Linked DNA regions of Macaca mulatta. The protein of the gene in region 1 interacts with the protein of each later gene in a biochemical or structural test. Links are inferred from orthologs where the notes say so. Each region holds a gene or a part of one and is shown in the gene's direction. Other genes may lie near its edges.

Region 1 (3,951 bases):
CTTTTAGTACCAAGCACATCAAGCTGAGGGTATGTGTTTTCCTGCCTTGTCTTGCTACTCACGGATAAGGACCATGACCTCCTTGGAGTCCTTAATCAGTGACTAACAGCAAGTTCTCAGTATGTTTTATTGGACGGAAGGAAGGATGGATGGATGGATGGATGGATGGATGGATGGATGGATGGATGGATGGGACAATGGGCAAATGGACGATATGGTGGGAAGTCAGATGGATGGGTGGATGGAAAAGAGGAAGGATAGGAAGATAGATGGATAAATGTGCAGGACAGGTGGTCAGATGGATGGACAGATGAGAAGAATGGATAAATGTACAGGAAGACAAGCAAATGGATGGATGGATGGATGGAAAGAAGAAAGGGTAAGAAAATGGAGAGATAAATGGATAGAAGAGAAAGTGGTCAGATGGGTGGATGGATGGGTAGTTGGGAGGATGGATGGATAAATGGACAGAGGGACATGGTCAGGTGGTTGGTTGAATGTTTGTTTTCCTTGTCTAATTGTCAACCTCAGGGCCAACTAGTGAAGGCCACTGGGCCCAGGCAGGGACCTGACTTGGCTTATTCTGTGCCCAGGTAGATATGTTCTCCTATGGAATGGTGCTCTACGAGTTGCTGTCAGGACAGCGACCTGCACTGGGCCACCACCAGCTCCAGATTGCCAAGAAACTGTCCAAGGGCATCCGCCCAGTTCTGGGGCAGCCGGAGGAAGTGCAGTTCCATCGATTGCAGGCACTCATGATGGAGTGCTGGGACACTAAGCCAGAGAAGGTACTTGGGAGCACAAAGCCCAGGGCCCTGGGACCTCCTGCCATGTGGCAGAAGCTGTGGGTCCCCAGAGTATGTGTGTGTGGCTGCCCACCCGTCACAATTGGCGACCCTTCTCTGCTCATTTCTTCTAGAGGGTGATATTTGCTGCTTCTAACATATCTACTTTCATTTTCTTTGTGTGTGCATGTCACTCTTAGGAAACAAACTTCCTTTTCCTCCCCAACTTTTGTGTTACTTCACCATGCAAACAAAGTATATCAGCCCCTTTATAACAATACAGTCCCTGTGCAAGAACAGAGAGAATGTGGGTATCTCTTTCTAAAGTAACGGGGAAAAGGTTTGGTTGTGAGAATCAGAGATCATATTATAGTGTTAAGGCTAGTTTTTTGTTGGTGGTGTTTTTGTGTTTTTGGAAGAGGCTAGTAGTTTCAAGGTTAAAACTCATTTATTAAATCAAACGAGCTAGTTTAATGTATTGAGAGTAAACAGGATATTCTTTAGAAGAATGCATGTCTTTATCTGGGCATGGTGACATGGACTTATAGTCCCAGCCACTGGGGAGGCTGAGGCAGGAGGATCACTTGAGCCCAGGAGTTCAAGGCTGTGGTGCACTATGATTGCACCTGTGAGTAGGTTCTGCACTCCAGCTTGGGCAATATAGTGAGATGAAGAGTGTATGTCCTTGGCCTGGGTTGGAATACCTGGGGTTCAGCTAACCTGACCAGATGAGTTTAAATTGCCATAGCCAAGGGTGACCCAGATATCTGGATGGGTTTGCTCCTGACATCTGAAGCTGTTTTAGCCTCTTGTTTGGATCCAATCTGAACGAACAGAATCCCTCATTTCTCCCTGGTTGAAGCTGGCTGACCTCATGGGCAGAATTGGCACCAATCTGGTTGTAAGTGACCTTGCTCCCTTCTGGTGGCTCCTCTCCCTCAGCGACCGCTGGCCCTGTCGGTTGTGAGCCAGATGAAGGACCCGACCTTTGCCATCTTCATGTATGAGCTGCACTGTGGAAAGCAGACAGCTTTCTTCTCGTCCCAGGGCCAGGAGTACACCGTGGTGTTTTGGGACGGAAAAGAGGAGTCCAGGTAAGCTCCTATGGCCTGCCCTGCCCTCTTTGAATTTGGGGTGGGAGGCCACTGTGGAATTTGGGAACAGAGTCCATGTTGACCACAATGAGAATTATTTAGCAGACAGTAGGGTCCAGAACCTGGTTAGACTGCACTCAAGAAAGAGCAGGGAGAGCAGAAGAAAGTCCACACAAACAGACGTGCATGTATGGTTTTGTGGTTAAGAGACAACAGAAATGAGTAGTATCTGCCAGGGTGTCTGGGGACATGAGGGCACTGTGGCATGTGCCTACAGTCCTAGCCACTCAAGAGGCTGAGGCAGGAGAATCCCCTGAGCCCAGGAGTTCAAGTTTAGCCTGAATGACATAGCAAGACCCCATCTTTTAAAAAATTAGAAAATTTAAAAACATTTTTTAAAAGGAAATGAGACCTGTCAGCCTGGTTATGTGACTTTCTCAAGAATGTTCTGCTGCCCCAGATTGCAGAAGGGGCAACAGGGTGGGTTTAAACAAAGTTGGGGTTTTGCCAGGAGGGAGAGAGGGGCAGGGGCGGGGTGTTTTCAAGGGAGTGATACAGAGATGGACCAAGGCACCTACGTGAGGCCATAAATTCAGGGAGCACAACGGAAAGTACCAAAGGATCCTAGGTATTGCTAGAGTTAAAAAAAAATTTTTTTTAAACCTCAAGAGTTATGGTATTAGGTGGGGTGAGCTGAAAAAGTAGGAGGTGGCCGTCAGAAAAGACATGCTTGCCATGGGGTGGGTGGGAGGCACCCAGTCAGTAGTAAAGACAGCATCTGGAGTATGACCTTTGCAGAGGGTGCCTGGGGTAGAGTGGGGGAATATCACTGAGCTTGAGACATAATAAGATAAATGGAACAGACTTTGCAGTTTCTCTTAGGTCAGTCTTCGTGAGTTTGCATCAGATTTTATGCCATTAGGACTGAGTGTTGTGACACAGATGCACTCTAAGAAATGATGGTGTAAAAAAGTTTTTCTGACCAGGCCTTGTGGCTCATGCCTGTAACCCCAGCACTTTAGGAGGCCGAGGCAGGTGGATCATTTGAGTTCAGGAGTTTGAGACTGGTCTAGGAAACATGGTGAAACCTTGTCTCTACAAAAATAAATAAATAAATAAAAACATAACAAAACTTAGCTGGGAATGGTGGCGAGCACTTGTAGTCCCAGCTACTCAGGAGGCTGAAGCAGAAGGATTGCTTGAACCCAGGAGTCTGACAAGCAGAAGGATTGCTTGAACCCAGTGGGTGGTGACTGTGCCACTGCACTCCAGCCTGGGTGACAGAGTGAGACCCTGCCTCAGAAAAAAGAGAAGTTATTCTAAAACACAGCAATGGAGCATGCCTTCCTGATGGGATGTACTCTAAGGACAAAACAAAAAGCAAACATATTAATTAAACAGGTTTCAGTAATTATATTGTTGGTAGTACTGTTGTGATTGTTATTCTAAGATGCTGCTTGTGGTTGTGGAGTAAGTTAATGAGTAATTATATTGCTGTTGCTGGAAACCGTGATTTTCAGCATGGGCTAAAAGAGAAAGAGTTGTAAAGTAGGGTAAGTAAAAGCTTGCAGTTCTGAATTGATTGGATGGACTCGTGATATAGTTGAAAAAAAAATAAACACAAATTTCTCAGCTCTGCTCACTGAAAAGGCCTAAAAACAAGGACCAACCAAATGCCAGTGTGCATCCCTAGGACCTAGACTGTGCTCTCTAAGTACCAAAGTGAACCAGGGCTCATCAGAATCATGGCAGAGTCCAGGTCTGGGGCAGGAAGTGCGCCGGGAACATCTGCCACCCTAGAAGCAAGGACACCGTCAGACACTTCTGAGGGTGAATTGGAGGACCTGGAGCCAGACTGGCCCTGGGAGGCTGGGCCAGACCCTGCTCTGCTGGCCTAGAGACACACACGTGGCAGGTACCTGAGACAGTTCTGCTCAGGCCTCAGAAGACTTCCCAGAGGGAAGAGAGAGGCCTCTTCCTGTGACCTGTGAAGGTTCTTTAAAACTCACCGCTGGCCTGAAGAGAGGCTCACTCACAGGAAGGGAGGAGGGGGCTGGCCCAGAGCACACGGG
Region 2 (3,951 bases), on another chromosome or scaffold:
GCTGCCAACCTTGATGCAGATGACCCTCTAACAGATGTATGTTTTGTTTTCTCCTTTCATCTCTAATAATTGATTTACCATGTTTTTCTGAAATACTTGTTATGCCTTTGGCTTTAAGAAGTGACATATATTTGCTTGCTGTTATTCAAATATAACCCTGACCTCAGTGCTAAACTTTATAGTTGATTTTAAAACAAAAAGTATTATTTTGTGGGACTTTTAAGAACAAGTTTGGTCTCTAGAGAACCAAATATGGAAGGAATCTTAAAAGACATGCTTTCCCGCAAAATAATGTCCTGTACTAAACTACTGCACTATGGTGTGTTACACACCTCTACAGGGCACTCTTCACACTGGGTTTCCTATAAACAGTGCCCTCTAGAGTTGTACCTGGAGGCCTTTCCACATTAGATATGCCCCTTTCTATAAGTGGAGTACACTTAATGGTTCCCTCTGTGCTTAGTGAGGGAAGTAATCTAAGCAGAAGGTTTTTAAGGATTAGCACATCAGTTAATGATAAAATTCTGTGGGACCCTAGAGCCTATAATCAGTTTGCAGTTTTCTACATACAGGACAGTGAAAAACCTGAGTGGCATCCAATGAGTAATATCTACCTGTGTATACATATCAGCAGTTAATTCTAGAGTTAAATGATGGAGTTACTCATAATAGTTAAAACAAGAAACCTAATTTCAAGTGAAATTTAATGATTATTCATTTGAAATTATTTTCTTCTGAGAAATTAGCAGTTTTTTGCACTTTTGATTATCTTTACTTGCTAGCTTAAAGTTGTTTTGAGCTACATAAAATTGTTTTGACTTTCTTAGGGTGATATATTGTACATATGTACTGTGTTTTGGTAATGTATATTTTCCCTCCAATCTTCTGGGCTCTCACTGTTCTTTTAGGAAGAAGATGAAGATTTTGAAGAAGAAAGTGATGATGATGATACTGCAGCTCTTCTTGCAGAACTGGAAAAAATTAAAAAGGAAAGAGCTGAAGAGCAGGCCAGGAAGGTAAAACCAAAGTGTTAAATATTTACATCTCTCCTCTCACATATACTAAAGTAGAAATTTTTTTGAATATAAGTAATACCTTCTTATATTAGAAATCTCCCTTACTGTGTCTAAATATTATAGCACTTGTAGATCTATAAATCTTATTATTTTTGTGACATCCTAGGTATTCTGGTTATGTTAAAAATTATTTCCCAATAGTTCAGATACATTGAGTAATATTCACCAGCTTGCTAGTCATTCACTAGTTTATTCATTTGTTCAACATTTAGTCAATATCTGTTAATTGACAGGAGAATCAAAGATGATCAAGATATAGTCATGGTCTACAAAGATTATCTCTCTGTCTCCTGCCTAGGTACTATTAAGGCAATTAGTCAGTAGATATTATATAACCTAGGTCAAGCTACCTAACTTTGCTGAGCCCCCACAGTCTCTCCGTTTACACAATATGAGGAAAAAATATAAAACTTAAAGATAGTTAAAACTCTTAATGAATTACCCAGAGTGATAATAAGAGGTGAAACTGAGGAGGCAAGCACAAGTCAGAGCATTAGAGATTTGCAAAACAATGCTGAAGGAGTCTAGATTTTTTTCTAAAGGACATGAGGAGCTGGTTGATTTAAGCAGGAGATTGATAAAATTGGATATGCATTTTAGAGAGATTACTCTGGCAAAAATACGCAGGATGGATTGGAAAAAAACTGAGTTAGGAGGCTGTTTCAGTAATCTTACCAATTAAGAGACTCTTAACTTGTATGATAGGAGTTGGAATTAAGATAAGTAATTAGATGCTGATAGAACTGATTATCAAGGAGGTCAAAGTGGGAAGGGGAGCAGGAAAAAATAAAAAATAAAAGAGGTAGAGTTGACAAAGTGACTGATTGATTGTGGCAGCAGAGAGGACCCTCACTTTGTAGGTAAATGTTGGTGCTGTACATCAATACAGGGAATGCAAAAGAATTGCCATATTTATACAGAGAGAAGAGGTAGTTGATGAGATCTGTTTTGAACATACTGAATTTGACACATTATAAGACATTCAGGTAGGGATGTTTTCAACCAGAGCAGCACAGCTTTTTTGTAGATTTCTGTGTAAAATTTTATTTGATGCAAGAATTGTTCTGTTTTTAAAAAAGAAAGTAAAAAAATATACTACATGGTCAATACCAGGAATCTAGGGAAGTGAGTTCATGTGAATCAGAAGGGCCAGGGAAGAATTCAGAAAAGAGGTAGAATTTGGGATGGACTTTGATGATTAGAATTCAGATTGGAAGAAGGAAGGCATTTTAAAATACAATTCTCATCAAAGTTTTGTATTATAAGACAGCATAATTCCTATAACAGCTTATAGTTTTTACATGTAGTTTTTAAGTCGAAGAATTATAAAAACATTCCCAATCCCACTTGCATACCACTAGAGGGCAATTGTTCCAAATTCTTTTAGCTTGCCTAATAGTTCTGGACACATAAAGAGATGAGCAATTTAAATGCTTTTGGTTGACCTTGAGGGACGATAAGCATTTTAGACAGAAGGCCTTGCAGTTTTGTGAGTTTCATGTAATAAAACGTGTTGATATTTCTTGGAGTTGAATGATAGTTTAGTTTCTTTTAGCCCTGTTTCCCTTTCTATTGGCTGGTTTTTGCCACGTCCCAAATTTAAGATTTTTCAAACCATTTAACCCTTGTCAGGGGTCAGCACACTTTCTGTAAAGGGCCAGGTAGTAAATATTTTAGGCTGGCTGGTCATGGAGCCTCTGTCGCACCTACTCACCTCCACTGTTGTAGCATAAAAACATCCACAGAGTACATAAACGAATGAGTGTGGCAATGTTCCAATAAAATATCTACAAAAACAGGTAGTTAGGATTTGACCTACATGCCATCTGACAACTAGCTTATATTATGAAACATAGTATGCCTGCTGTTTGAATGTTGAAAGAGTTTATGCCTTTTTTTCCCAGGGCTGTTAGTGACAATCATTCAGTAACTCCAAAGGAAATAATATTCCAAACATAAAATGTCCATGACCTTTGTATGTCATACACATTATATTATAAGTTTGGATATATTGTATACCTAAGCTCCTATTTTTCTAGTATTTCAGAGAAATATCTTTTCCCTTTAAGCATCAGTATAATTTGTTACAAATAAATATATAGCTTTTAGAGAGCTACTTGTACTTAATCTGTGATGGATAGTTCCTGATTTTATTTAAATTCTGACCAGTGATGTAAAGGAATTTTCCTATTTCCTTACAAGTTAGATCTTCTCACCTCCTATTTTCATTTTTATTTTTCTCCATAAAAATGAAATTCATTGTTTACATTTGAATATTGAAATGAATATCAGTAATCTGTATGAAAAATTAGGTTATTAAAATAATAACTTTTTAAAAAATGATTTCCACACCATCTCTTTTTCCTTGATCTATTAAGTCATCGATTTCTGTCATCCCCAAAACACAGCAAAATGGGATTTATATTTAGCTTAAGATAGCATGTTAACAGGTAGATCTAGAAGTGATAGCTAAGGATTTTAGACATTTTATATTCCAAATTCTGAGAAGGAAACTCAGGATGATTTGACTTTGAAGAAGTTGATGCTAAAATAAAAGTGAAGAAAGACAGTGTTGTAACTGATAAAGGATGGGAGGTATAAAAATAGAAACTGAGGCCGGGCGCGGTGGCTCACGCCTGTAATCTCAGCACTTTGGGAGGCTGAGGTGAATGGATCATGAGGTCAGGAGTTCGAGACCAGCCTGGTCAACATGGTGAAATGACATCTCTACTAAAAATACAAAAATTAGCCGGGCATGGTGGCGCATGCTAGAGGCTGAGGTGGGAGAATCAATTGAACCTGGGAGGTGTAGGTTGCAGTAAGCCGAGATCATGCCACTGCACTCCAGCCTAGGCAACAGAGCGAGACTCCGTCT
Region 3 (4,432 bases), about 86 Mb from region 1:
GTGCTAGGATTACAAGTGTGAGCCAGGGAGCCCGAACAATTTTTAATTAGCTCTTTTTTACACTTCTTTAATTATTGTTTAAACCAAGTTTTCCAGCCTCCTTCATTAGCCTGTTTGGTATTTGCATGCTTTGCTTGAATATTTTATCTCCAGCCCATTCCACACCGTTAGCCAACATTTTCATCTGACAGATGGAATCAAGGCCTAGGCCTCCTTTAAACAAAACATCCCTCCCAAAAGTATGACTTATAAAAATTGCTTGCCACTCTTTCTTGCTACAGACATTCTTTGCGGATCTTTGGCCAGTAACATGCATATACCCACACATAGTTTGCAAATAAGAACAACTATTGAACGTGAAGTGCTACAAAAGTACGATGATAAAGTATAAAGTGTTCACCGCTTGAATAAAAGCTCTAATAATTTTAACAAAGCCAAAACACAAACACACACACACACACACACACCACGAAAAAAAAATGCACGCTAAGCCAAGAGCTCTTTAAATATAAAAAATCATCATTCTCGGGAACAAATAAGATAGCTACAAACTTGCCAGGTGACTCTTATGCTTAAAGGTTCTGGCTGTCAACAGTCTCCGGCGTGGCGGCGGCACCCTCAGTCCCATCCGACCGAGAGCCCTGACGCGGAAGCCTTGGGGCTGCGGGACTGTTCGGGATCGGACGCGAGCGCACCTGCAGAAAGGCCTGAGGCGGCTGTGCATGGCAGGCAGCTGCCCCGAGGCCCCGGTTTGTCTTTCCTTCCGGTCACCCCTCCCGGCCCAATATCCCCAGGCGCTTGCTTACGCCGCTGGGCGCCGTATCCCTGCGCTCGGCGCCGCGCTCCGGAGCGAGTTGACAGCCGCGGCAGACGAAGGAGCGGCTGAGAGCGCGGAGAAAACTCTTCTTCCCCGCCCGCAAGGCCACCATGGCCCCACGCCCCCACGCCCCCTGGCTCCCGCGGCGCACGGCAGCATTGCGACGGCGCGAGAGACCGCTTTACGGCAGGGTCGCGAAGCCCGAGGGAGGGCGGCGGTGCGGCCGACCGTGCGCTTTCCCCGCGGTACGACGGGCTACGGGAGCGGCGGGCGGCGCGCCGCTGACCCGGGCGGCCGCTCCTTGGTCGCTGTCACTCCAGGTTGCCTTGCTGCGCCGCTGGCGGTGGGCTTGGCGCTGTCGGCGGCTAGGCGCGGACGCCGGAGGAGGTGTCCCCGGGTTTAGGGGTGTTCGGCCAGGGGCGTGGGCTGGCTGGCCCGGGCGACGGCCGGAGCTGCGGAAGTCGTGGAAGCGTCGGCGACGCATCGCGCGATGGCGCGGGCAGGACAGGTGAGCGAAGCGCGGCGTGTGGCCTTTTCCCTCCGTCGGGGGGACGAGTGGGGCCCCCCGTCGGCGCGGGGCTCCCCGCTGGACCACCTCTCTGCCAGCGCCCACCCCAGCGCGGCCTGTCGGCTCAGGCCGAGCAGAGTTGGTCTCGGCGCCGTCCCCGTCCCTGGCTCGGACGCTGTCCAGGGGTGGTCGGGCCTGGTCTCTGGTGTCTCCGGCGGGGCCTTGGCTCCTCTCCTTCCCCGGCTTCCCCCGGCCGGGCCGAGGGCCCCTCGCGCGCCCATTGTGAGGTCAGGGCCTGCGGGCGCGCCCTGGCACCTAGGCCGAGACGCCCGGAGCGGCTGCTGCAGCCAGTAGCAGCCCCTTCACCGCCGGCCCCTTCACCGGCTGCCCCGCTCAGACCTAGTCGGGAGGGGCGCGAGGGATGCAGCTGGGGGCCCAGCTCCGGTGCCGCACCCCGTAAAGGGCTGATCTTCCACCTCGCCACCTCAGCCACGGGACGCCAAGATCGCAGCCAGCTCAGACCTCTTCTGGGTAAAGAGCCAAGAGGGAAGGGCGAGGCGGGGAGGAAGGAACTCGGGCCGCCTGCCCTCCGTGGCCTCCAGAACATCCACAGGGGATGGATGATGCGTTTCCATTGGTTACCCACCTTGAGCGAGCCGTTTGATAGAAACCAAGAGCTTGAAACGTGCATTAGGCGATTGTGGACTCTCAGTGGGAGGCGAGTGAATGAATTATTCAGTTACCACATTTTCGCAGGTTGTAGTTTTTTGAGACAGTGGAGCATGTTGGGGGCTGAGGAGGTGCTGGGCCTCGAAAGCCCAAGGTGGTGCCCTTCAGCGCAATCCCCGTCGCTCTTCTTTACCTGTGGGGTTTTTATCTCTTCGGGGAGACATCTGGGAGGGAAGATGTGTGAGGAGCTAAAAGGGTGGGGAGGGGAAGTGCACAAAGGGAAGAAGCGGGAACTTGGGGATATCTGAGAGCCACTGGTTTTTGTTCTACTGGTTCAGTTTATTTTGCTTAGAGTTTCTGGAAACTAGGCATAGCTGTGTGGCGGGGCGGGGTACTGTTAGTGTTCGGAAGGTTACAAGAGCTACTGTTTCACCTTGCATAAAGGTGCCCTGCCGGTTCCAAATAGTTTGTGCGGCGTACGGTGACTCACACCTTAATCCCAGCACTTTGAGAGGCGGGGGCGGGCGGATCGTCTGAGACTAGCCTGGGCAATATAGTGAGACTTGTCTCTACTAAAAATAATAACATTAGCTGGGCGTGGTGGTGTACGCCTGTAGTCCCAGCTACTGGGGAGGCTGAGGTGGGATGACTGCTCGAAAGTATGCCTTTTTAAAATGAGAATTTTAGAATGACTTAGTATACCATTAGTGTTCTGCAGAAGCCTTGTGCTGTAATAAGTTATTCTTGTCATCTTTTAGTGCTTGTGAAACTGAACACAACAAAAGTATGGATATGGGAAACCAACATCCTTCTATTAGTAGGCTTCAGGAAATCCAAAAGGAAGTAAAAAGTGTAGAACAGCAAGTTGTCGGCTTCAGTGGTCTGTCAGATGACAAGAATTACAAGAAACTGGAGAGGATTCTAACAAAACAACTTTTTGAAATAGACTCTGTAGATACTGAAGGAAAAGGAGATATTCAGCAAGCTAGGAAGAGGGCAGCACAGGAGACAGAACGTCTTCTCAAAGAGTTGGAGCAGAATGCAAACCACCCACACCGGATTGAAATACAGAACATTTTTGAGGAAGCCCAGTCCCTCGTTAGAGAGAAAATTGTGCCATTTTATAATGGAGGCAACTGCGTAACTGACGAGTTTGAAGAAGGCATCCAGGATATCATTCTGAGGCTGACACATGTTAAAACTGGAGGAAAAATCTCCTTGCGGAAAGCAAGGTATCACACTTTAACCAAAATCTGTGCGGTGCAAGAGATTATCGAAGACTGCATGAAAAAGCAGCCTTCCCTGCCGCTTTCCGAGGATGCACATCCTTCCGTGGCCAAAATCAACTTTGTGATGTGTGAGGTGAACAAGGCCCGAGGGGTCCTGATTGCACTTCTGATGGGCGTGAACAACAGTGAGACCTGCAGGCACTTATCCTGTGTGCTCTCAGGGCTGATCGCTGACCTAGATGCTCTAGATGTGTGCGGCCGGACAGAAATCAGAAATTATCGGAGGGAGGTAGTAGAAGATATCAACAAATTATTGAAGTATCTGGATTTGGAAGAGGAAGCAGACACGACTAAAGCATTTGACCTGAGACAGAATCATTCTATTTTAAAAATAGAAAAGGTCCTCACGAGAATGAGAGAAATAAAAAATGAACTTCTCCAAGCACAAAACCCTCCTGAATTGTACCTGAGCTCCAAAACAGAATTGCAGGGTTTAATTGGACAGTTGGATGAGGTAAGTCTTGAAAAAAACCCCTGCATCCGGGAAGCCAGGAGAAGAGCAGTGATCGAGGTGCAAACTCTGATCACGTATATTGACTTGAAGGAGGCCCTTGAGAAAAGAAAGCTGTTTGCTTGTGAGGAGCACCCATCCCATAAAGCCGTCTGGAACGTCCTTGGAAACTTGTCCGAGATCCAAGGAGAAGTTCTTTCATTTGATGGAAATCGAACCGATAAGAACTACATCCGGCTGGAAGAGCTGCTCACCAAGCAGCTGCTAGCCCTGGATGCTGTTGATCCGCAGGGAGAAGAGAAGTGTAAGGCTGCCAGGAAACAGGCTGTGAAGCTTGCCCAGAATATTCTCAGCTATCTCGACCTGAAATCCGATGAATGGGAGTACTAAAATACCAGAGGTCTCACTTTTGATATTGTTTTGCACTTCATATGTGCTTCTATGTATAGAGAGCTTTCAGTTCATTGATTTATACGTGCATATTTCAGTCTCAGTATTTATGATTGAAGCAAATTCTATTCAGTATCTGCTGCTTGTGATGTTGCAAGACAAATATCATTACAGCACATTAACTTTTCCATTCGGATCATTCTCTCTATGATGTGGTGTGGTTTGTTTGGTTTGTCCTTTTTTTGTGTGTTTTCAATCAGAAAATGAAATAGAGGCAGCTTTTGTAAATTTAAAATGGGTTGTGCAAG
Region 4 (3,951 bases), on another chromosome or scaffold:
GTTTTTGATTATGTAGCTCGTCTTGTCTCTTGATTCTGAATTCATTGCTTTATTATATGACATAACTCTTTGGAAAGCTCAAATGTCAAAAAAATCTCTAATTTTTTCCTTGTTGCTTATCTTCAAGATCAGATATGTATTATAGAGATTGAATTGATGTAATTATTAGAGACCTTAAGAACACTATAGAGTGGGTAAAGTTGGTATTGTGGTTGTAATGTGATGTTGGAAACTGAGTGGTAGAAAAGGCAAACATTAATATGAGTTTGTTACAATACTGAAGTCAACAGGATTCTTATGTTCCTTCAGTTATAAGTTATGATTTTGTGGAAGGCTATAGTACAATGTGTTACTGTCTTTATTTCATTTGGTATGAAAAATTTTATGGAATTATTATTCAGTTGAGAAGTCTCACAACTAGGAAGTAGCTCAGTTAAATATATTGTAAGATGCTGAAAGTAATCTATTTTTTCATGCTTTCCCTTTTACTTCCTTTAATGTACACTGACGTTACAAAGAAAGGAGAGTTTGTCTGTTTTCCTGAAAGTCATCTACCACAAGTCTTTTGTTGTTCAGAAAAGTGCCTGCATTTGACATATTTGATGGCAATTAGAGTCATCTTTCTTCACTAACAGGGTCAGTAGGTCTTCTTCATAGAGTTAGAACCACAATGTTCAGTAATGTTGTTGGCAGTAGAATGCAACACTGGGGACTTTTGGAGCTTCCATCTTGTTAGTGTGGTCCCTAGAAAGGAATTGGCAACTAAATTTTAAGGAATGGCCAAATTGACTAATTTTGTTTTCCCTCTCTTGGCAAAAAGTCACAGAATAATGGTGGTTGTGAAATAATCTCATTATATGGCTATTATTTAATTTAATTTATGAAATTTAGATTACTAAGATGAGTTTATCTTGATTTTTTTCCTAAGTAGCATAGTAATGTAATATATTAAACATTCATGTTCTGGAGAAATCATTAAATTGTGGCCGGTGCCCAGAGAGCCATTATATTGTGCCAGTTAACACAACTCGGACTTGAAAATGTATTTGGAACAACTATTCTTTAACTCACTGATGCTAAAATGCTATAATAGTGGTTTTTTTCTTGTTTCTCTAAAATTGCTAAAGGCATTCTTGTTTTCTAAGGTAGAGAAAGGCTCTTTCTCACAAAATTTCATGAGGCATAATTATCTCATCAGTGCTACCACAGGCTGAGTTCTGGCCTGTGGTCTGGTCTTACAGGCACAGAATATGATGTTTGTCATTTAAGGAGATTGGATCATTTTTTAGAGGCAAAATAAAAACAAATTTAGCATTGATGGATGAGATGAGAACATGGGATTTTTAAATTTACAATGAGAAATATGGTAAACTGCCACAGAAATTTAAAAAGAGTTTCACGACAAGCTTATTTTCTCCTAGAAAGGAATCACACATTGGAAGCCTGCTATGAATGGAAATAAAAAAGAGCAAGCTAGGTGAATTAAATGTTTATTAGTTTCAGATTAGCATAGTAAATTCATATATGTCTACAATAAGGGTGATATTGCCAGTAGGTGGTACACGTTATTGTACCACACACAAATGACTCTTTCTCACACTTTTTTCAGCTTTCACTACCTAGCTTATTGTATTCTGGCTTCTCCTGAAACTACCATTCTCTTTAAATTACTATTCCTAAAGATACTAATGACCTTAATCGATTATTTTGGTATGGTAAGGGCCTAAGTATGATACTGAAAGTAGAAATATAAAGAAAAGATTAATACGTTTGTTTATATCAAAATAATATCTTATATTTAACTAAAGGCAAATAGGATATAAGGGAAAATCATTTATGACAGATAAGAGCTTCATCACATAAGGAGTTTTTACAAATTAAAGACTAACCCAATATAAAATGATTAAAGAACATGGATAAATAGTTCAAAAGAGAAGAAAATAGAAATGTTCAATAAATGTGGCCAGGCATTGTGGCTCACACCTCTAATCCCAGCACTTTGGGAGGCTGAGGTGAGCAGATCAGGTCAGGAGTTCAAGACCAGCCTGGCCAACATGGCGAAACCCCATCTCTACTAAAAATACAAAAATTAGCTGGATGTGGTGGCACACACCTGTAATCCTAGAATCACTGGAACCTGGAAGGCAGAGGTTGCAGTGAGCTGAGATGACGCCACTGCACTCCAGCCTGGGTGACAGAGTAAGACTCTGTCTTAAAAAAAAGAAAGAAAGAAAAAGAAAAAGAAAAAAATGTTCAATAAATGTGGAAGAGTTTTTCAAATTTACTGGTAAGCAAAAGAAATTAAAAATGAAACACCGTTTTCCCCATTAGATGTAAGGAGTAACAACAGTAACAGATAGTGACACAGTGCTCACATGTGCCAAGTGCTGTTTTCAGTACATTCTTAAATTAACTAATTCTTCTACCAGTTCTGTAAATATGTACTATGGTTATTCACATTTTACGTATGACCAAACTGAGCACATAAAGATAAGTAACTTACATAAGTTTACATAACGAAAAGTGATAAAGCTAAGATTTAAACCTAAGCTCTCTGACTCTAAAAGTTTTAGTGTTCTTTAACTATGACCCGTTATTGCTGCTCAAAGATTTTAATAAATAATAATCAGTGTTTTGTTATTATAAATGACGTTACAGTAAACATCTCCCTGAATACAAAAAATAGTAATAACCAGTGTTAATAAGGGTACCTAGTAGCAGGCATTACTGGCTGAATATATATTAGTAGACATTTCTGTTAAGACACTTAATATGTTTGAAAGCCATACTGTAACATGGGCATATTCTTTGAATTCAGAATTTATCCTAAGGAAATCCTTACCGTAAACACAATAAAATATGTGTACAAAAACTATCTGAAATCGTTCTATAATAGCAAACATTTTAAATGAATGTTGAATAAAAGGGGATTGGTTAAACAACTTCAAGAAATAGTGTATTATTAGGCTTTCATTCTTTTTGGAGAAAATAAAGTAATGCTACTAATTAATTCATGTAAGTTTGCCTTTCTCTCTATACGTTAAGTATATGCAGTATTTGGCTTTCCAAAGCCTTCTTATAAAGTTGAAATATCACCGTTTGTTTTTTCTTTTCTCTTTTTAGATGTAATTAGGTTGTACTAGTACAGTATATAAAGTGTAACTTTTAGTAAATATATTAAATATCCTTTTTTTAAATGTTAGCAAATCACTAAAGAATTAGATTTTGAATTAAACATTGAAATTGTTATAATGTTTTATCTCTCATGTTATAAATGCTTTATCTTTTTTGTTAGTTTTTTAAATGTCTAGCATATCTGTAAAGATGCCTTAGAAAAAGAATCATGGAGAAGTATGTTAGACTACAGAAGATTGGAGAAGGTTCATTTGGAAAAGCCATTCTTGTTAAATCTACAGAAGATGGCAGACAGTATGTTATCAAGGAAATTAACATCTCAAGAGTAAGTATATTTTTAGTTTGGTTTCATGAGTAATAGTTTGGTTACATTAGAGCTCATTGCTAGAGATTTTCTTTAAAAAAAAAAAAAAAGGGTAATTGATAACCAAAAGCAAAAGATTCCTTTATTCCCACTAATATCAGAATAGCCTATATATATTCTTTCAGATTTTTTCTATGATATGTGCTTATATTTATGTGTTTAGAAAAATGTACTTGCTGTTCTGTAACCTCATCTAGTTTGGACATCTTAAAATGTTTCTACTTTCAGATTCAACTCATTCTTTTTAACTTCTTGCTGTATTTTGTTGATTGAACTGTATTAATACTATTATATTTTAACCACTCGCCTATTGATGGACTTTTAGGTTGTTTATTAATGGTTTCATTTACTATTTTCTTTTCTCCTCCCATTTAAGATGTCCAGTAAAGAAAGAGAAGAATCAAGGAGAGAAGTTGCAGTATTGGCAAACATGAAGCATCCAAATATTGTCC
Region 5 (3,951 bases), on another chromosome or scaffold:
TAAGACAAAAAGGTGATCCTAGGTTTTTGGTTTGAATAAGTAAATGAATGGTGATAACCATATACTGAAATAGGAAGACTGAAGGAGGAGCTGGGGAATTAGGAGTTCTGTTTTGACTATATTTGAAGTACCAACCAGACACCCAAGCAGATATGCCAAATAGTTGTGTGTCTGAAGTTCAGGGGAGGGTTTGGGACTGGAAGCATAAACTCAGGAATTGATCAGTATACAGATGATATTTACTTAAAAACCTTAGGATGGAATGAAATTACTAGGGAATAAGTAGAGATAATATGGATTCAGTCAGTGACTCTCAACCGCTTATTTAAATAGGGAATCCAACAGGGTCAGGGGTTTATAATACTCTTAAACATAATAGGAAGAAAAGAAAATTCTAAAACACTCCTTGTGGCTTAAGTACTACATTTATTCCTTTCAGAAAACATGTCAGCCGGGTGCAGTGGCTCAAACGCCTGTAATCCCAGAACTTTGGGAGGCCAAGGCGGGTGTATCACTTGAGGTCAGGAGTTCTAGACCAGCCTGGCCCACATGGTGAAACCCTGTCTCTACTAAAAATACAAAAATTAGCTGGGCATGGTGTCAGGTGCCTATAATCCCAGGGAGGGCCAAGGCAGGAGAATCGCTTGAACCCGGGAGGCGGAGGTTGCAGTGAGCCAAATCATGCCATCACACTCCAGCATGGGGGACAAGAGCGAGACTTCGTCTCAAAAAAAAAAAAAAAAGGAAAGAAAACAGATGTCAATTTAAGTGTTAATCACTTCATCAGTGAATATTAAATAAGACAGCCGACCTGTATTGCAGCTTTTCAGAATTAAACAATATTTTACAATCTCTAAAGTATAGATATCCTAAGACTCATTTCAGATAACTCTTCTGAGGGTGGTTTTATAATAAGACAGAATAGGATTAAGTCTCCACACTAGACAGGTGAGTAAGATGGGCTCTTCTTGTCATGCTGAGTTTTGTTTTGTTTTGTTAGCTAGAAGTTAGCTACTAAGATACCCTGTTAAGTGGCACATTTTTATCTTCTTTCACCATTGTTCAAAATGTATAGTACAGGGTATGTCAAAGTTCTGTACCTTCTCCAAGCTGACAGAACAAATAGATATGAAAGCAATGTAAACAAAATGTATTAACTACTAAATTATGTCAAATGTAAAATATACTTTTTTTTGTTTTTTTTGAGACGGAGCCTCGTTGTGTCGCCTAGGCTATAGTGCGGTGGTGCGATCTCAGCTCACTGCAACCTCTGCCTTCTGGGTTCAAGCGATTCTCCTGCCTCAGCCTCCAGGGTAGCTGGGATTACAAGCATTTGCCACCATGCCTGGCCAAATTTTGTGATTTTGGTAGAGACAATCACCTGCTAAGAGATGCTCACAGTCTGCCTTGGCCAGTTTATAGCTATAAAAATGAGTTAGGTCAGTTTCTTGAGGAGGGATTTTCTTTGCAATACCGCCTAGAAACTAAGGTTCTTTTTTTGAGAAATGATCTCACTCTGTCACCCAGCCTTGAGTGCAGGGATGGGATCTTGGCTCATTGCCTCAACTCCCAGGCTCAAGCAGTCCTCCCTCCCCAGCCTCCCAAGTAGCTGGGACTACAGGCACCCACCACCACACCCAACTAATTTTTTATTTTTTGTAGAGACGGGGTTTTGCTGTGTTGCCCAGGCTCTCTCGAACTCCTGAGGTCAAGTAATCCCCCCCACCTCAGCCTCCCAACGTGCTGCTATTACAGGCATGAGCCACCACAACCAGCAGTCCATATTCTTAATGTATCCTAATATACATTAAGCTGTGAATGGCATATGGTAATTTTTGAATCACTTTTGGGAGGGCTTTTTTTTATAAAAGTTTTTTCAATGTAGTACATCTGTTACTAAGTACTTAAAACTAACCCAAGGAGGTATCACTAAAGGTTATTTGAAGACTTGTTTGAATGACTTGAGAATGATTTGAAATAAGATTATTAAGTATTTACAAATTCTGTGGACAGAAAGTGTTAGGACTTTTAGAAAATATCTTTAAATTCCTCAGCCATTTGTTTACACTATTTTTTTTTTTTTTTTTTTTTTTTGAGATGGAGTCTCGCTCTGTCACCCAGGCTGGAGTGCAGTGGCGCAATCTCAGCTTACTGCGAACTCCGCCTCCGAGGTTCACGCCATTCTCCTGCCTCAGCCTCCCTAGTAGCTGGGACTACAGGCCCCCGCCACCACGCCCTGCTAATTTTTTGTATTTTTAGTAGAGACAGGGTTTCACCGTGTTAGCCAGGATGGTCTTGATCTCCTGACCTCGTGATCTGCCCACCTTGGCCTCCCAAGTGCTAGGATTACAGGCTTGAACCACTGTGCCCAACCTGTTTACACTATTAAAAATAATTAAAAGTTTTGCTTAGGGCTGGGCGTGATGGCTCACACTTGTAATCACAGCACTTTGGGAGGCCATAGTAGGCAGATCACCTCAGGTCAGAAGTTCAAGACCAGCCTGGCCAACATGGTGAAATCCTGTATCTATTAAAAATACAAAAATCAGCTGGGTGAGGTAGCATGTGCCTGTAATCCCAGCTACTCAGGAGGCTGAGGCAGGAGACCCGCTTGAAACCCGGGAGGCAGAGAGGTTGCAGTGAGCCGAGATCATGCCACTGCTCTCCAGCCTGGGTGACAGAGCAAGACTCCATCCCAAAAAAAAAAAAACTTGCTTAGGACAAATTTTAACTCAGGTCTTTATTAAATTTAAAATTAGTAAGTCAGTTAATTGTTAACATTGCCCTCTTCTTCCTCCCCAACAGGAAGCCTCCTTGGTACAGGATTGATTGATTAATCATTTTGTTTGTTTTTAAGTAGTAGAGGTCGGAGAGTTGTGACATCTGAGGACCAAGTTCAAGAAGGGGCTAAAGTGCTGAAACTTAAAACAAAAATGGTAAGATGTGGACATAGCACTCCTAAATGGTCCCCCTTTCCGTTTTGCCTTTCCTAAACACTTTTCTTAAATAATTCTTTTAGGCTGATAAAGAAAATATGAAGAGACCTGCAGAGAGCAAAAATAATACAACAGTGGAGAAAAATTGCATTCCTTTAAAACCTTCAAATGAACTAACCAATTCAACTGTAGTAATTGACACGCATAAATCTAAGGATAATAATCAGACTCCGCATTTGTTACTAACTGAAGGTGATCCCCAAAGTCAACATATGACATTAAGTCAGGCATTTCACCTTAAAAACAATGGTAAAAAGAAACAAATGACTACAGAAAAACCAAAGCAAGATGCTAACGTACCCAAGAAACCTGTGCTTGGATCTTATCGTGGCCAGATTGTTCAGTCTAAAATTAATTCATTTAGGAAACCTTTACAAGTCAAAGATGAGAGTTTTGCAGCAACAAAGAAACTTTCAGCCACTATCCCTAAGGCCACAAAGCCTCAGCCTGTAAACACCAGCAGTGTAACAGTGAAAAGTAATAGATCCTCCAATATGGCTGCCACTACTAAATTTGTGAGCACTACATCTCAGAACACACAACTTGTGCGACCTCCTATTAGAAGTCATCACAGTAATACCCAGGACACTGTGAAACAAGGCATCAGTAGAACCTCTGCCAATGTTACAATCCGGAAAGGGCCTCGTGAAAAAGAACTATTACAATCAAAAACAGCTTTATCTAGTGTCAAAACCAGTTCTTCTCAAAATATAATAAGAAATAAGACACTATCAAGATGCATAGCATCTGAAGTTGTAACCAGGCCTGTTTCATTGTCTAATGATAAACTGATGGAAAAGTCAAAGCCTGTTGACCAGCGAAGACATACTACAGGAAAAGCAACTGTTGATAGTAGATCAGCTCAGCCCAAAGAAACCTCAGAAGAGAGAAAGTAAGTAGATGTAATTTTCTTTATTGCCTTAGTTTTCAATCAAGTACTGTTTGTAGATTTGGC
Region 6 (3,951 bases), on another chromosome or scaffold:
ACTTGTCCCAATTTGAGGTTGACTCTATGGCCACTACCTCTCACCACCCTGCCCAGCCTTGGGACATGTCCTTTTTTTCTTCAGCCACCATTGTCCCTGGCTGGAATCAAGAAATCTGTGTTTTCTGCCCACCTGTAACTTATGTCACAAGTGTCATTGAGCCAGCAAGTGTCAGAGCTGGAAGCCACTTCAAAGAGCATCCAGTTCCACCCTGCCTTCACATTTTACATGTAGGGAAACTGAGGCCTAGAGCGGAGAAGAGGCTTGCCGAAGTCAGCAGCTGATATATTGCAGAATTGGAACTCAAACCCAGGTGTTCTGCCCCTGGGCCTGGGCTCAGCTTCTCTGCGTGTCAGTTTCCCTGTTGGTATGAAGAGGGAGTTGGCCTTGTTGAAAGCTAAGCACCCACCCAGAGCTGCCCTGCGTGATGCCTCAGTTGTAGGAGGCAAGCCAGGGCTCTGTGGCCTGCCAGCCATGTGAATTGGGTGATCTCGGGCCTCCAGAGGCCCGCTTTCCTCATTTATAAAATGGTGGGAAGAGTGGCACCCTATAGAGACCCCCCACCCCAGTGTTGCATGTAGCAGGTGCTTAATGCTTGGAAGAGGTTTTATGATAGTTAACCTGATGCCCCCCACCCATGGCAGTGCAGCTGAGAGGGGTTGGGGCTGGGGCCTTTGTATACTCCAGCTCCCCAGCCCTGTGAACAGGTTGAGGGCTGCAGGCTGAAGGTGGGATCATGGTGGGGAGGGCAGGGTCAAGGGAGGAGGGGTTGGAGGGAGATATGGGGCTTGACACTGCTTTCCCATCCCCGGTCTGTTGTCCCTGCCTCTCTGCTCAGGCTCAAAGGGCTATTGAGGAAGCCTTCGAGGGCCAGAAGAAGGCAAGCTCATGGCCCAGCAGGACCCCGAATCCTGTGGAAATCTCCTCCGTCTTCTCAGACTACTATGATCTCGGCTACAACATGCGGTCAAACTTGTTTCAAGGTCAAGTCAAAGGGGAAAAGGGTGGGACCGGGAACACCCATGGTCTCCCAGGCATGGGGCAGGGAAGGCCTTTACCCCAGGGCACATCTCCAAGGACACTTATTTCATGCCCATGTGTCCTCTATGTCAGCTTGCGAGTGCTGGGAGCATCCAGACCCCTGTCCTGGATGTGTGGATGATTCATCCCAGTTGGCAGTCAGCCCCTCACGCTCCCAGACACCTGTGGCCCCTTCCCTTCCTTTCCATTCCCTTCCCTTCTCTTCCTTTCCTTTCCCTTCCTTTCCCTTCCTTTCCTTTCCTTTCCCATCCTTTCCCTTCCTTTCCCTCCCCTGCCCTCCCCTCCCCGCCTTCCCTTGTCTTCCCTTCCCCTCCCCTCCGCTCCCCTCCCCTCCCCTCCCCTCCCCTCCCCTCCCCTCCCTTCCCTTCTTGTGTTTTTTGAAGTCTCATCCTGTTGCCCAGGCTGGAGAGCAGTGGCACAGTCTTGGCTCGCTGAAATCTCCACCTCACACGCTCAAGCAAGCAATCCTCCCACCTCAGCCACAACCCTGCCCTGACAAGTAGCTGGGAGCACAGATGCATGCCACCATGCCTGGCTAATTTTTTTTTTGTTTTGTTTTTTGTATTTTTGATAGAGACAAAGTTTCATCATGTTGCCCAGGCTGGTCTCAAACTCCTGGGCTCAAGTGATCCACCCACCTCGGCCTCCCAAAGTGCTGGGATTACAGGCGTGAGCCACTGTACCCTGCCCACCTCTGGTTCTTAATTTGCCAGTAGGAGGCCCAGGACTCAGTAGAAGACCCAGGACTGCTGCTCCCCACCCCCAGCCCCATCCCAGGAACCTTTGATCACAGTGACAATATCAAGTTTTTTTGGTTCAAAACTCAGCTCACTAGCTGGGTGTGACCTTAGGTGGGATCCTCAACCTCTCCAAACCTCCACTGCCTTCTCAGTACAGTGGAGATGATAATGAGAGTATGGCCCTCGCTGGGTCATTGGCAGGACTTTATGAAGTGCCACACAAAGGTGCTTGGCCAAGGCAAGTCGTGAGCACTCAGTAGCTGTCAGGCTATCATTTTTCTTCTCCAGAGCCTGGAGGTGGCGCTACCTGGGAAGACAGGAAGGGTGGGTTGGAGGATCTGACATTTACAGAGGGTTTCCATTGGGTCATTGTAGTTCTGTTTGGTTGGGATGAGGAGAGTGCTGTTAGCTCCATTTCACGGGCAGATTTCAGATCATTTGCCCTAGAACTTTTAGTAGTCTGCATTGTGTCTGGGACTCAAAGTCAGGTGTTCCTTCTGCCTCCACAGCCTCATAGTCTTTTCTTGACCACTAAGTCTCTTCCCTAGCTTTGATCCTGTTCCCAGGGTCTTCTAGATGGCTCAGATGCCCGTCACAGCACGCAGGGACTTCTCTCTGCCCCACATTCTGATTTGGCCTCATTGCAAAATGAGACTCTTTCTGGTGCGGCTCCTTCCTCTCTCCTCACTCCAGGCCCTCTCCAGTGTTCCCAGAGGCCTGACAAACCTCTTCCACCTGGCTCGGATCCCTGTCACCCGAGGAACCAGACACCCACTGGAAGCCTTTCTGGATTTTTCTTTGAGCTTGGAGAAGGGATGGTGCTGGGGGAGGAAAGCAAGAATACAGTTCTGCTTGCTCTCTGTTCTGGGCCTTCCAGATCCTGCCTTCCAGTTCTCTCTTTAACAAGTATCGGTCACCAAATAGCTATTCCATACAACTTTGTATGATAATGTCTACTTAAATGTAAAATAATCTATTTTTTAAAATGTCCATGTCCCATCATCCCACCTGGGAAGTAGAACTGTGCCAAGGATGTGCTGGAGCTCCTAGCAGCTTGAGCCAGCTCACAGGAGGCAATTGTTTCGCTGCACTGATTGGCACATAAATGCTGTCTTAAAATTGGCTATGCTAGTAGTATTTACACTCTGGAAATTGGCAAACACTATGAATCAGGGCTTCACCCTGCAGCACAGTACTGTCAGTGTGCCCATCCATCTGTCCCTCTCTGTCTCCACCCACCCGGGGTTAGCCTTTGCGCTTGCTGTTTGAGGTTGGTGAGACTGGTATGGCTGCACAAGAGTGAGGCAGAAGACATCAGAGGAAACACACTGGCTCGTGAAGCCTGCTGGAAGGTCTTTACTCGGAGTGAGATGAGAAACCAAGCCAGGGTTTTAAGCAGGAGAATGGTCCTGTTTGGCTCAGGTTAAAGGCTCACTCCAGTTGCTATGGGGAGAATGGACATAGGGAGCTGGGGCAGAAACAGGGAAACCAGTAGGAGGCAGCTGCAAAACTCCAGATGGGACAGATGATGGTGGCTTGGTCCTGGAAGCTGGGCTAGTGCACTGCACGATTCTGGAAGGCACCATTGTGCAATATAGCAGCTCAGGGAGGTAATGGTGAAGGTGGCCTGATGTAGTAGGATTCTGGATATTTGTATAAGGCAGAGAGAAGAGAATATGCTAATGAATAGATTTTGGGGTGAGATACAGGAATTAAGGTTGATTTCAACGTTTTTGACCTGAACGACTGGAAGGATGAGATGGCTATTTACTGAGTTGGAGAAGGTGCTGGGGGAGCAGGCTGAGGGACTCCTATCCTATGCTGAATCATAGAGATCATCTTTTATACAGTCTTCTAAAATATTTAGCTTTGCTTTTCACATTTAAGTCTTTAATCCACCTGGAGTTGATTTTTGTTTTTAGTATGAAGTAGGGATTCATTTTCAAAAACTGTAGACGGCTTTTGTGAGTTTTAGCCACTTAAGAAAGTAGTAAAACTAGGCTTGAGGAAACTTTCGGCAGCTTGCCCAGCTGTATAAAAAGTGAGATGATGAGCTCGGGCACTCCTTGGGCATCTATGTGCCCAGCCCTCAAAATAATGGAACAACAACAACAAAAATCTTTCCCTAGTAAGGGTTCATTTTCAATTCCTTCTTTATGTGGATTACTGA
Region 7 (4,683 bases), on another chromosome or scaffold:
CCACAAAAAGGCAGAGTAGACACGTATATATGTTTTACTTTGAAAAAACATTTTCCATTTTAGATTTCAAATTCCTCAGCCCAGAATAAGGGAGCATCAGGGAACGTAAAGGAAGTGGTCTCCCAGTCACAATGACCACATACTGCAATTGCCTTGCTCTCCAGTCTGGGTTTCTACTTCGTGTTACAGTCATTTCAGTGGGCACCACTCAGCTGCTTTGTAGTTTTCAGGAGCAGTTGTTCAGGGAGGATTTGGTTCATTGCTGGTGTGACATATGAGTGACGATGACCCAGGAAGTTCTGATGACGTGACTTCTCTCAGCAATGTTCTGGGTTTGCTAAGCTTCCTCAAAGCCTCTTTGGCACTTACGGAAGTTGCATTTCAAAACCTGTAACAGGAGTCCCCACCTAGGATGGCTCTTCAGTGCTACTCCTTCCTCCCAGTAGAAGCAACCTTTGTTTTTGTTTGTTTGTTTTGTTTTTTGTTTATTGAGATAGGGTCTCACTCTGTCACCCAGACTGGAATGCGGTGGTGTGATCACAGCTCACTGTGGCTTGGTCCTTCCATGCTCAAGAGACTCTCCTGCCTCAGCCTCCTGAGTAACTGGGAACAAATACATGCACTATCACACCCAGCTGATATTTTATTTTCAGTAGAGATGAGATCTCTCTCACTGTGTTGCCCGGTTTGTCTCAAACTTCTTGGCTCCAGTGATCTTCCCACCTTGGCCTCCCAAAGTGCAAATGAAAGCCACTGCAACTGGCCAGAAGCAACCTTTGACATTGGGTCTACTGCTGCCCTCAGTTATGAGAGAAGTTTCAACCATCCTTTTCACATTTTTTTTTTTTTTTTTTTTCTGAGAGAGTCTCACTCTGTTGTCTAGGCTAGAGTGCAGTGACATAATCTTGGCTCACTGTAACCTCCACCTCCCTGGTTCAAGTGATTCTCCTGCCTCCTCCTGCCAGAGTGGATGAATGGTTCTTCTTGACCATCTAATCACTGTCTACTAAGACTTTAAAACTCTGCATCAACATCACCTTCCAGGTTCTTCCTTCTCTCCCCTATGCGATGCCTGGCATTGAAAATTTCTGTCTATGACTTTATCATGGTATGTTACTGTTATTAAATATAGCTGGGGTTACAGGTGTGCGCCATCACACCCAGCTAATTTCTGTATTTTTAGTAGAGACAGGATTTTACCATGTTGGCCAGGCTGATCTTGAACTCCTGATCTCAGGTGATCCGCCTGCCTCCACCTCCCAAAGTCCTAGGATTACAGGTATGAGCCACCACGCCTGGCCCTTTTTCACATTTTTTTATACATGGATAAATAAGATAGAGATTAGAATTCTTATGTGCTGGGTGTATTTTCCCTTTGATAGTTTTACAAAATATTCTAGGTGTAGAATGTTTGGAACAGACTTCTTTCGTGTTTTCTGATCCTAGGGTTCCTGGGTTTTTGAGAACTTGTTTGTCTTGAAGTTTCCTTTAAGCCATGTACTCCTTGCATGCTTGTCTGTGCCCCTGCCTTCCAGGTACTGTGGGCATATGGGGGTTCCTTCTATTGAGTTTTCAGTTTTATTTTTTGAAAGAGAATGCAAAATAGATTGGGTCCTATGCCACCTTGTCAGTGATATGGTTGTGCATATTGTTGATATCAGTTAAAGGGCAATCACAGGAGCGTATCTATATATATATATATTTGCATAACAAGGCCGTAAGTTAAAGAATTCACCAAACAAAGGCCGTAGGTTCACGAGTGAGACTGTTTTAATTGAACTGGTATTTGTACAAGGTGACACCCTGTTGCATACCACAGACCTCCTCCCTGAGTGACTCAGCCGCTGAGAAAGAAACCTCTGAACTGTTCATTAATACAGTCAGGTAGAGGTTGAGACTCCACTGAATAAACTCTAGGTTCCCATTTCTTTCAGTCAGATCCTCCCAGGGAATCACTACAGGCCGGTTAGCCAAAAAGTCCTGGTTTTCTGCTCAATAGAGGTAAGTTGAATTATACTTGCAAACAGAAATACATCTGCTGTATGTGCACAGCTTTCTCTGTGTTCCTTTCAAATGATTAAAATTAGAACTTACAGTATTATCTTTGTCTTTTCTTCCTATAAATTTTGACAGCCTCCAGCTGACTGTTAGCTCTGCTCTTCCTTGCTGTACTTTTAGGCCACATTGCATTGAACTTCTTGGCAACTTTACACATTACGGGCATCACAGAAATGAGCACCTATTTGATTTTCTGGGTGGGAGCTGTCAGCTGGTGAATCCTGCCACACAAAGGATAATAAATTATTTAAGCGAAGGGACCAGCACCTGCTGGTTTATTTTCTCAAGTGACTATACAAACATTTTTTAAAGGAACTTTCTGTTTTCATAAATGATGCTTTTAGTGAAATAGTGAACTCAAATATTGCTTTATAGTTAATAAGTCATATTTTTTCTCTACTGCTAAAAATATTGCAAGTTGTTGAGCTATGAGAGAGAGAGGTTTATTTTTATGAGGTTTTTGTCTCCACCCTATCTTCCCCAAATAAGAAAATTGCCATTTCTTACTTGAAAGTACCAAGGAGTAAAGGCAGGGTGTGGGGGCAGAATAGGGGTATATATGATCTGTGGGCATCTGGCCAACTTCTCTACAGTATATTCTGCATTCTAACCTAAGGAGTGATTAATATATATGGGGGCAATTTTCAAACTTTATTCATAGCCTAGTCCTGAAAAACCAGTTTTGGGAGACTTTTGGTAAGGATAGAAGAGTTCTTTTGTAATTAATAGTTAAGCTGACTTGTCTGGTTTGTGTTTTTTTTTTTTTTTAATCATTTCTATTTATGATACAGAGCTGTGGAATTCAAATGCAGGGGCCACTCACAGCTTGCAAATTGCAGGTCTGTGTCCTCCAGAGAGGCGCCCCCACAGCATACTTGGCTCTATCTTTAGTACTTGAGTTCTCATGGCTTCCTATTGCTGACCAGGTCACCTGCAGTCTGAGAGGGGTTTAGGCACACCAGTGCTCAGTGCTCATTTCCCAGAGGTTTACCGAAGAATTTTATAACTTGGCTTTCAAGTGTTTATAGTAACCAGAAAACTAAAGCATAGCATGTGTGGGTAATTTTATTTTTCATAAAATGTGATTACATTTAAAACTGTCTTTCACTTCCACAGTTTATAACGTAGATATAGCCTTCCTAATATTTGCAGTGCTCCAGTGTTTAAAGTATCAGAAACATCAATTTGAGAAAACTGAGAAATGACAACAGTAAAAATTTTAGTAAAACATTCAGATGATCCTAAATGTTGGGATATACAGAGAATGCCAACAACAGGTCAGAATTTTTATTGGAATGTTAGCTTCGTGTAAATCTTAGATCTAATTGACTGAATATTTCAACTGAAATGGAGCATAGGCCCATCTAGTCTAATGCCTGAATTTTCTAGATGAGAAAAACAAAGCATAAATGTTAAGTAACTTGTGAAGATCAGAGTAGCAGAACCAGAACATGAAGCCAAATTGCTTGTCTTTTGTCTTACTGAATTTTCTCAATATTTTTTTCAAATACTTTTTATTATAAAATATGTAGTAGCAATAAACGAACCACACTCCATCACAGACTGTGGTTATCCAGCAATATGTGGAAATATTATACTGTGTATGGTGTGACTAAGACATAATGGAAGACGTAGACATATGTTTCCAACTTGTGGCTTGTGGAATCAGTGTTGCCATTTATTATATTTATGAGATTTTCATCTCAGGATCCAGTAGCCCCTCAGCAGGGAGGGGATCTGATGTATGTGTGTTAGCTGTGGTCTGTACAATCAGAACACCCTCGCCCCGAATGCCATTCTGTAGGTGATGCTTACCTGACTGCCTTCTCAGACTACCAGAATTATGATGAAATACCTGAGAGGTTCATATTCCTGGGGACTATGTAAACAAAACAAAGAATATGTTTTGAATGACTGAGCTCATACTGTGGAATGAACTAAGCAGTCAACTTAAGCAAACATTGTTTAACTGAGAGCATCCTATATGGTTCAGGCATCAACTCCCACCATTTCTTAAGAGTGAGGGGATCAAATCTTTGGCCCTGCAGTCCAAGGGAAATCTTTATTGGTTTCACTTGGCTTCACTTTCTGTCATTATCCTGCTTCTAGACCATTTGTTGATCATTTTCCATTTGCTCTGGCTAGGGACTTTGAAATAAAGATTTTTATATATTAATTGCTGCATACATAGCTGGAGTTGTTCCAAGTTCACTTCTGAATCAAAAGTCATTTTTGTTGTTGCTTTTTTTTTTTTTTGAGATGGAGTCTCGCTCTTTTTGCCAGCCTGGAGTGCAATGGCACGATCTTGGCTCACTGCAGCCTCCGCCTCCCATGTTCAAGTGATTCTCCTGCCTTAGCTTCTCGAGTAGCTGGGACTACACGTGTGCACCTGACTAATTTTTGTATTTTTAGTAGAGACGGGGTTTCACCATATTGGCCAGGCTGGTCTCGAACTCCTGACCTCAGGTGATATACACGCCTCGGCCTCCCAAAGTGCTGGGATTACAGGCATAACCAATGCACCTGGCCTTAATCAAAAGTCTTTATCAGTTATATTCCTTAAGTGTTTCCAGCTTACCACTGTACAAATGGTAAACTGTGATTTTTCCACGAACTTGTGATTTT

The links.
Region 2: the proteins of LRRK1 (region 1) and CWC15 form a complex in vitro, tested with the Homo sapiens proteins (2 studies listed by BioGRID and IntAct, with this or other methods). The link is inferred for Macaca mulatta from reciprocal best matches to the Homo sapiens genes LRRK1 and CWC15.
Region 3: the proteins of LRRK1 (region 1) and BAG5 form a complex in vitro, tested with the Homo sapiens proteins (2 studies listed by BioGRID and IntAct, with this or other methods). The link is inferred for Macaca mulatta from reciprocal best matches to the Homo sapiens genes LRRK1 and BAG5.
Region 4: the proteins of LRRK1 (region 1) and NEK1 form a complex in vitro, tested with the Homo sapiens proteins (2 studies listed by BioGRID and IntAct, with this or other methods). The link is inferred for Macaca mulatta from reciprocal best matches to the Homo sapiens genes LRRK1 and NEK1.
Region 5: the proteins of LRRK1 (region 1) and CKAP2 form a complex in vitro, tested with the Homo sapiens proteins (2 studies listed by BioGRID and IntAct, with this or other methods). The link is inferred for Macaca mulatta from reciprocal best matches to the Homo sapiens genes LRRK1 and CKAP2.
Region 6: the proteins of LRRK1 (region 1) and CIMIP4 form a complex in vitro, tested with the Homo sapiens proteins (2 studies listed by BioGRID and IntAct, with this or other methods). The link is inferred for Macaca mulatta from reciprocal best matches to the Homo sapiens genes LRRK1 and CIMIP4.
Region 7: the proteins of LRRK1 (region 1) and SCEL form a complex in vitro, tested with the Homo sapiens proteins (2 studies listed by BioGRID and IntAct, with this or other methods). The link is inferred for Macaca mulatta from reciprocal best matches to the Homo sapiens genes LRRK1 and SCEL.

The regions. Positions count from the first base shown.
Region 1 is NC_133412.1:91,426,214-91,430,164, forward strand, and holds part of LRRK1 (leucine-rich repeat serine/threonine-protein kinase 1), read left to right. Parts: intron 1-593; coding exon 594-788; intron 789-1,727; coding exon 1,728-1,879; intron 1,880-3,951.
Region 2 is NC_133419.1:95,758,666-95,762,616, reverse strand, and holds part of CWC15 (spliceosome-associated protein CWC15 homolog), read left to right. Parts: coding exon 1-36; intron 37-908; coding exon 909-1,016; intron 1,017-3,951. UniProt on the Homo sapiens protein: Involved in pre-mRNA splicing as component of the spliceosome. Component of the PRP19-CDC5L complex that forms an integral part of the spliceosome and is required for activating pre-mRNA splicing.
Region 3 is NC_133412.1:176,980,209-176,984,640, reverse strand, and holds the start of BAG5 (BAG family molecular chaperone regulator 5), read left to right. Parts: upstream 1-1,297; 5' UTR 1,298-1,945; coding exon 1,946-2,043; intron 2,044-2,752; coding exon 2,753-4,124; 3' UTR 4,125-4,432. Other genes in the region: COA8 (cytochrome c oxidase assembly factor 8), read right to left, coding at 807-929. UniProt on the Homo sapiens protein: Co-chaperone for HSP/HSP70 proteins. It functions as a nucleotide-exchange factor promoting the release of ADP from HSP70, thereby activating HSP70-mediated protein refolding.
Region 4 is NC_133410.1:178,070,560-178,074,510, reverse strand, and holds part of NEK1 (serine/threonine-protein kinase Nek1), read left to right. Parts: intron 1-3,295; 5' UTR 3,296-3,343; coding exon 3,344-3,460; intron 3,461-3,875; coding exon 3,876-3,951. UniProt on the Homo sapiens protein: Phosphorylates serines and threonines, but also appears to possess tyrosine kinase activity. Involved in DNA damage checkpoint control and for proper DNA damage repair.
Region 5 is NC_133422.1:31,690,373-31,694,323, forward strand, and holds part of CKAP2 (cytoskeleton-associated protein 2), read left to right. Parts: intron 1-2,857; coding exon 2,858-2,936; intron 2,937-3,019; coding exon 3,020-3,888; intron 3,889-3,951. UniProt on the Homo sapiens protein: Possesses microtubule stabilizing properties. Involved in regulating aneuploidy, cell cycling, and cell death in a p53/TP53-dependent manner.
Region 6 is NC_133415.1:14,555,632-14,559,582, forward strand, and holds part of CIMIP4 (ciliary microtubule inner protein 4), read left to right. Parts: intron 1-838; coding exon 839-983; intron 984-3,951.
Region 7 is NC_133422.1:72,336,583-72,341,265, forward strand, and holds the start of SCEL (sciellin), read left to right. Parts: upstream 1-1,766; 5' UTR 1,767-2,001; intron 2,002-4,683. UniProt on the Homo sapiens protein: May function in the assembly or regulation of proteins in the cornified envelope. The LIM domain may be involved in homotypic or heterotypic associations and may function to localize sciellin to the cornified envelope.